Linked DNA regions of Macaca fascicularis. The protein of the gene in region 2 interacts with the protein of the main gene of each other region in a pairwise test. Links are inferred from orthologs where the notes say so. Each region holds a gene or a part of one and is shown on either strand. Other genes may lie near its edges.

Region 1 (3,908 bases), on a different chromosome or scaffold from region 2:
AGGCTCTGGCACTGACTCGCCAATAGACTTGTGGGGCAGCACGCTGGCTCCGTTGAGGTAGAGCTCATCGTTAACTATGACGTCCTCACCCAGCACTGTCACGTTCTCCATGCGAACCTCCAGGAGAGGATAGGCCTTGTCAGGGAGACAGGCACACTCCCCGCCCCTCTCCCCACCTGGCCCAGCCCACAGGCTTACCCACTGGCCCACACGGCAGCGCCAGCCCACAATGCAGGACTCAAGCCATGAATGGGAGCGGATCCGGGCATCCCGCAGCACCGTGCACCGCCGGATACACACACCATCTTCGACCACCACGCCAGGTCCCAGGCTCACATTGGGGCCAATGCTGCAGTTCTGGCCAATGCGGGCACTTGGGTCCTGAGAGTGGTGGGAAAAATACAAGTGGGCCACTTGTCTCCCAAGACTGAGGGGGTTAATGATGGGCTGGGCAAGGGCCTCACCACCAGCACGTTGCCCACAATGCCAGGGCCTGAGTACAACCGCTCAGGGTGCTTCTGCCTCAGTGACTGCAGGAAGAGGCACATGCCAGTGAGGAAGTCCTTGGGCTGCCCAATGTCCATCCAGAAGCCTGTAGGGAGGGATGTATCAGGGCCCTCAGCCCAGCCACAGACCACCCCCACCCTGTGGCCTCCCTGCCTCACCCTGCAACTCCATGGCATATAGCTGCCCCTCCTTGGCCATAATGGGGAAGACCTCCTTCTCAATGGACGTAGGCTGCAGCTGTGGGAGTGGGCAGCTTGTGAGCAGGGTCATGGCGGTGATGGCCTGCCCCACCACAGCCCACCGACAGCTGTCTCCTACTACACACCTGGATGCGCCGCAGCACCGCAGGGCTCAGGATGTACATGCCTGCGTTGATCTTATTGGACACAAACACCTGCGGCTTCTCCACAAACCGGTGAATTCGGCCTGTGTCAGCCTCACACACCACCACACCGTACTTGGAGGGTTCCTCCACCTTGGTTACCTGAATGCAAGGAAGGGGACCTCGGACCTAGTCCAGTGTTCCTGAGCCTTGATATACATGCCGTTCCAGATCTCAGAGACTCTGCCCCAAGTGCTTAAAGATACATACTGCACAGCTCTGTACCCATAACATCCGAAGGCAGATGAAGGCTAGGGGGCAGGGGAGGCTGGGCGTGGAGGGTGGAAGTGTCAAGAGAAACAAGACCTGGCGCCTTACCAGGATGGAGCCCTCCTGGCCATGGTGCCGGTGGAACTGCACCATGGCTTGGAAGGGGAAATCGCAGATCACATCACTGTTGAGGACGAAGAAAGGGTCTGCAGTCTCAGAGAGCAGGTCACGGGCCAGCGCCAGGGGCCCAGCTGGGGGAAAGGGACAGGTCACAACCTTGCTGGAGGTCTGAGTCCCTGGATTCAGGCTCAACAGGCCCAATGCAGGCTGGGTCTTACCCTTTTCCTGGCCTTAAACCCTCCCCAAGGGACCTTTCTCTACTGACCTGTCCCCAAAGGCTCCTCTTCATGGGACATGGAGATTCGGATTCCCAGCTGGAAGGAAGAGGACCCCCAGTCAGGTTCTACCAGGATGGGAAGTTGGGTGGGGACCGAGGATAAGGGCCAAGAGTCCGTGCCTCACCCTCTGCTCCTGTGCCTTCATTTCCTTCTCCAGCACCTGCGACATGTAGCTCACGGCCAGGATCACGTGGTCCACGCCTGCCTGTCAGAACGCAGGCCAACGGGCGGGCTCAGTCAGAAGGTACGGGAGCCCCTGACCCCCTAGTCACTGGCCATCCCTAGTCCTGCCAGATCCAAAAGCGACTCCGATCCCGACCCAGGGTCTTACCGCAGCTAGCGCCTCCACTTGGTGCAGCAAGATGGGCTTATTGCAGAAGTCCACCAGTGGCTTCGGGGTGCTCAGTGTCAGCGGCCGTAGCCGCGTCCCATAGCCCCCCACTAAGATCAGTGCCTTCATCGCGCCTGCGGACGTTGAGGGGGTGTCCCGGGCTCTGAGGTGCCTGCAGCCCGTCTAGTCGGTCCCTGCAGCGCACTCCCAACGCCGTGCCCGGCCCCGCGCCCTTCACCAACCCGTCTGACCGACTCTGGCTCCACCTCGTCCTCCCGGTCGCCCTGACGCCGGATCCAGGGCCGCCACAACCCAGAACGCGACGCCGGGTGGACGGCTGCTGGCCACGAACTCAGGGCGGACCCGGCGCGGGCAGTGACGCGAGCACCGCGGGCCAATCGGCTGCCGCGTACGTGGCACGGCCGCCGGCGACGGAGCGTTGGGTCGCAGCGCTGCGACACACGTAGCCAATGAGCGCCCGAGTACGCCGGGCTGCCATGGAGACCCGGGCCGGGACCCGCGGGTCAGCTGGCCATTGGCGGATCCAAAGGCGGAACTGGCGCCAAGGGTGAGGCCTAGTTCCCTGCTTCGCGCCGTCCAGCAGCCGCCGGCCCCGCCCCACCCCGCGGCCCGCCCCCACGGCCCGCGTCGCGGCCCAGCCCCGAGGGAGGGTGATCAGGGAAGGCTCCCGGACCACGGGATTTTCACAAAGACAGACTCGCCTCCGTTTCTAGCGGCTTTATTTTTGACATACACGACCTCAGACACAAGCGGGGCGGGCAGCGCTAGGTGTACAGAAAGGAGCGGGCTCGGACCGAGCACCCCTCAGGCAAGGTCCAAAGCAAACACTACTGCGGCGGGAGCCACGGGTTAGTGTCCGGGCGCAGACCTCGGGCGGTGGGGACAGGCTTAGCTTCCAAGAAGAGGAGCAGAGAGCGATTCCCAGAACGCGGGGGCTTACAGTTCCCCGAGAAGCAAAAGAACCAGGTCCTTCCCAGGGTTGTCCATTTTTTTCTCATTAAAATATTTTTTAAGTCAGCACAAACATAACCAAATTGTACAGCTTTAAAGTTCAAAGCAATCTGCATCTAGGGAACGTGCATGTGGTCAGGAGTGAGCGCGTGAACAGCAGCTACGGAACTAGCACAGGCGCCAGGCCCCATGATGGGAATCCCCACGCCCATTGCACAGGCCCAGAGAGGGAAGGGTGGGGGTCCCTAGCAATTTGCTACACTGGTCCCCTTCCTCTTTTAAGCACCACCCGTCCCACCCCACCCTCAGGGGCTGGTGTCAGCTTGGCCCAGGGAAGCACTATAGAGAGGGGTCACCGGAGCACCCCAACCCATGATCCCATGTTGCACTTTGGTCCCAAGTTGGGGCTAAGGCAGGGCCTGGCAGGGAGAGGGCTCTGGCATGGGGCAGGGAGAAAGCAGTGGCAGACAGTATGCACACACACTTGCCCACTACCATTAAATAACAGGGCTGGGTCTCCAGGTGTCCAAAGTGCTGAAAAGAGGGGCCCTGCTCTAGGGGAGCAGCAGCAAATCCCAGGCCTTCCCACTCTTTGTAGTGCCAGGAAAATACTGAATATAAGTGGATGAAGCCTTTGCTCGCTGTGAGGAGCAGCAGAATGTGGCAGCCTCTCCTCCCAGAATCTAGGAACCTGGGAGGCACAGGACATCCCCAAAAGGTCCCAAACAGCTCCAGACCCTATGCCTTACCCTCCACCCTACCAGGGAATGACTAAGTCTACACTAATGAAGGGCTACTGCCCCCATGGCTGAAGCCACAGAATGGTACAGGAGAGAAAACCGTAATTTCTGACCAGAAACAGCCAAGCTGTCCCTCCCAGCCCCAAAGAATGGGAACCTGCCCACCAGTGGCACCAGAGCCGGGGGCTAGGAGAGATGGCATCCATCAAGGAGCCCTTAAGAAGCTGCATCTCTAAGGACCAGGAAATGAGTCCATCAGTTACCAAGGCCTCTCACAGCTGGCAGGCTTACCTTTAATGCCAAACAGGCACTTGCCTAAAGTGACAATGAACAGTGACCCTAGGCTCAAAGGAGAGGGTGCTAACCCT
Region 2 (3,808 bases):
AAACCCAGAATTTAATGACACCATTATAACATGAATCAAATTAGTTACTCTTTCCACTTAAAAGATCTTTCTATACCACATCCCATTTTTTGAAAATGGTCTCCTAATATCAGAATGATCCCCATTAAATTTCCAATGTGAATATGTAAGCGTCCTTTATTCACCCGTAGATGTGTTTCAGAAAACTTGGCCCAACGCCGAATGACTTGAAAGCAAATTTGGCTTCCTGGCTGACTCCCATTACCAAATGCTACCATGGAGAGAAATCCCCTTAGAAGACTGGCTTGGAAACGTGAGAAAGGGCTTGGATTGCCTCTGGCCTTGTGACTTGTGCCTGCTGGGAGTCAGCAGCCCTCCCCCACCACACTTACTGTCCACAGTAACTGATCATAAGGCCTTCAGCCGTTTCCCATTTTGTTAAAAGTTGTTATTGCATCTGTACCGGTGCCCTGACAGTGGAACTTCAGCTGTTTTGCTACGGGAGTGCATTTGCAGCTGGAATTGGCTTGGGCTCTGAGCAGGATGTGTTTCCCGAATCACCTGTTACAGACCGGCTCTGGCAGGCCTGTAACAGGCCTCCTTTTATGGTTTCATCACTGAAGTGCGCATTCCTGAGCACTGTAGTTTCGTGTGTGTGTATATATCTTCTAAGGCTCTTTTAACCTGCGTGTTCTCCAGACATCTCTTTCTCTTTCTTGCTGAAGACATAGGTGGTTTCACCTGTAGAGCTCCCTGTGGTCCATACTTTGCTAATTGTGTCCCCGTAGTGTGGTCTACATGTTTCCCTGATTTCTCTGTTTCCTGTAAATTAGTAGTTGGGTCTGGGGACAGAATCAGTTTCAGTGTGATATTTTTTGGGGGCACAGGAAGACCTCATAGCTGGTGGGGGCACAGAGTGTCCAGTTGTCTCTCTTTGGGATGTGGGCGACCATGACAGGCAGGGCGTGGGTCCATTCATTCCTTAGGGGTGGCCAAGTGCCACTCGCCAGCGCCTCCCTGAGTGGGTCACTGCGACAGAGCTGTGTCGTGTAGGCACCATGGTGCCTTCCTGGCCTTGCTGGCTTCCCATCAGTACTCTGATTAGGTTCCCAGAGAGCCTGTCTCCATCTTACAGTGCAGGATCTACCGTGCACCTGCACACGGTTTCAGCCTTGCACATTTTTAAATGGAAGTTGTTAACTTTTAAAGGAAGTTTTGCACCATTTTCTTCAGGTGCATCGTTGCTGTGCTGATGAGGCAGTAGCTGTTAGCCTTAGCGTGGCACAGTCCTGCTCAGAGGCCAGGCCACATGCCACTGGTTCGTTCTCTCCCTGACCACAGCCTGATTTCAGTTTGGTATCAGCCCGATGTCAGGGTAGAACAGCTAAACACCTCCTGTGTCCAAAGAATGATGCTGTGAGGGCTTGTTTTTTCTGTGTGTGTGTGTGTCCCCTAGCCAAGGGGGTGATGTTTTACTTTTTAAACTTTTTGTTATGATAAAATGTAATACAGATCGAGAGAACAAATGTTGTAGGGCTTAATGAATTTTTATAGAGTGGTCACACTAACTACTGTCCGGTTCAAGAAATAAAACTGCCAGCCTCCCGTGTCCCATCCAGGGCTCAGCCCGCCCTCCCTTCTCCAAGAAGGCGCTTTCCTGACATTTGTGGAAACCACTTGTATTAGTCCGTTTTCAAACTGCCGAGGAAGATACACCCGAGACTGGGTAATTTACAAAGGAAAGAGGTTTAATGAAGAACTCACAGTTCCACGTGGCCAGGGGAGCCTCACAATCATGGTGGAAGGCAAGGAGGAGCAAGTCACATCTTACGTGGATATTGGCAGGCAAAAAGAGCTTGTGTAGGGAAACTCCCATTTTTAAAACCATCAGATCTCGTGAGACGTACTCACCATCACGAGAGCAGCACGGGAAAGACCTGTCCCCGTGACTCAGTTACCTCCTACCTGGTCCCTCCCACAATATGTGGGAGTTCAAGATGAGATTTGGGTGGGGACACAGACAAACCATATCACGACTCCTTTTATGGTTTCATCACTGAAGTGCGCATTCCTGAGCACTGTAGTTTCGTGTGTGTGTGTGTATATATCTTCTAAGGCTCTTTTAACCTGCGTGTTCTCCAGACATCTCTCTTTCTTGCTGAAGACATAGGTGGTTTCACCTGTAGAGCTCCCCGTGGTCCAGACTTTGCTAATTGTGTCCCCGTAGTGTGGTCTACATGTTTCCCTGATTTCTCTGTTTCCTGTAAATTGGTAGTTGGGTCTGGGGACAGAATCAGTTTCAGTGTGATATTTTTTGGGGGCACAGGAAGACCTCATAGCTGGTGGGGGCACAGAGTGTCCAGTTGTCTCTCTTTGGGATGTGGGCGACCATCACGGGCAGGGCCTGGGTCCATTCATTCCTTAGGGCTGCGAAGTGCCGAGACTCATTCAAGCGTCCCTTCATTTTTTAACCAAGAGAAACTCGCCCTCATTTATCACCTGGTTATTCAGTGGTGCAGTGCATATGGGAGAGGTGGGAGAAATGCCTCATTCTCTCCCTTTATTACAGTTTTCCAAATAATGAGTTGTTGCTGATTGTCCATCAAAGATGACAAATTTGGTTTTGAGTATTGTTATGAACTCATGAATAGAAACACATTTGATGGAGTCCCTTTGTACCAATTAAAGTGCTCATGCTGAACTGAGATTTGCTAAGCAGGACAAAGATCTGATTCTTCAATTAACTCTCTAGTGAGGTCTGACATAAATTACAGTTCTTCTTTCCCCCGTCTCTGCCTTGGCTCTCCACTCCAGGCGACCACTTTATCAAGTTCTTCGCTCCGTGGTGTGGTCACTGCAAAGCTCTGGCTCCAACCTGGGAGCAGCTGGCTCTGGGCCTTGAACATTCCGAAACTGTCAAGATTGGCAAGGTGAGTGAAAGCCCTTATTAAACTGGAAATGGACTGCTTTGGGCTGGATTAATTAGCAGAGTGGCCCATTATTCATTCTGTGTGCAAAGTCGCAAACTTGATTTATTAATTCCATTTAGTGTGCCACTTGATAATTCATTTCACCTTCACAGATGGCAGCCTGATTTTGAGTTTTGCTGACTTTTCCACAGCCCAGAGATAAATTATGGCCTCGGCTGCTTTGTTTATTTTGAAGAGATGGCCAAATCTGAATTGGCAGCCCCAGAGCCCGTTCTGCAAAGATACGGGGTCGAGCCTTGTAGAATGTTCACTGGACGAACTTGGAGACCATCCACGTTCGACCTCACCCAAGAGCCCTCTCTAAAAGGACCCTGGCCCTGTGCTCACCCAGGCACGTAGAAGACCCTCCCTCAGTTTGCACTGTGCCTGGGATTCTTTCCAGGGTTTCCCACTTTATACAGAGAAGCCAAGAGTGATGTCTGACAACTTCTGTGTAACTGGATTTTCTGGAAATATCCAGTGTAGCTCCAGGGATATCACTTTTATTCTTGTCCACTTTCCAGCACCCACCAGACACCATGCATAGATTTCCTTTTTTAAAAATCTTGTTTTTCTACCTTGCCACGGGGCTGATTTGTATACAAAAGTAACGCTGCGTGTCTAGGACTGGATGATGGTTAACAGGATGATCTACTTGGGATGGTGAGATGGTCAAAAGCGTAAACCTGGGGATTGGGTGGACCTGGCTGGCTGACCTTGGGCAAAACCTCTCCACGCCTGGTCTCCCCCTTTGCAAAACTGAGCTAAGATCTACTGTGTGGTGTCTGGGCAGGTGAAAGTACACTGCTTAGTGTGATGCTCAGCACGGGGCGGATGCTTAGTAAGTTGCAATCACTTTT

What was found.
Region 1: the proteins of TXNDC5 (region 2) and GMPPB interact in a two-hybrid assay, tested with the Homo sapiens proteins (2 studies listed by BioGRID and IntAct). The two-hybrid records come from large-scale screens. The link is inferred for Macaca fascicularis from reciprocal best matches to the Homo sapiens genes TXNDC5 and GMPPB.

Annotation. Positions count from the first base shown.
Region 1 is NC_088376.1:112,742,651-112,746,558, forward strand, and holds the start of GMPPB (mannose-1-phosphate guanylyltransferase catalytic subunit beta), read right to left. Parts: upstream 2,183-3,908; 5' UTR 1,958-2,182; coding exon 1,829-1,957; intron 1,703-1,828; coding exon 1,622-1,702; intron 1,534-1,621; coding exon 1,485-1,533; intron 1,351-1,484; coding exon 1,208-1,350; intron 992-1,207; coding exon 833-991; intron 745-832; coding exon 666-744; intron 593-665; coding exon 465-592; intron 382-464; coding exon 1-381. UniProt on the Homo sapiens protein: Catalytic subunit of the GMPPA-GMPPB mannose-1-phosphate guanylyltransferase complex. Catalyzes the formation of GDP-mannose, an essential precursor of glycan moieties of glycoproteins and glycolipids. Can catalyze the reverse reaction in vitro.
Region 2 is NC_088378.1:165,099,080-165,102,887, forward strand, and holds part of TXNDC5 (thioredoxin domain-containing protein 5), read left to right. Parts: intron 1-2,793; coding exon 2,794-2,909; intron 2,910-3,808. UniProt on the Homo sapiens protein: Protein disulfide isomerase of the endoplasmic reticulum lumen involved in the formation of disulfide bonds in proteins. Can reduce insulin disulfide bonds.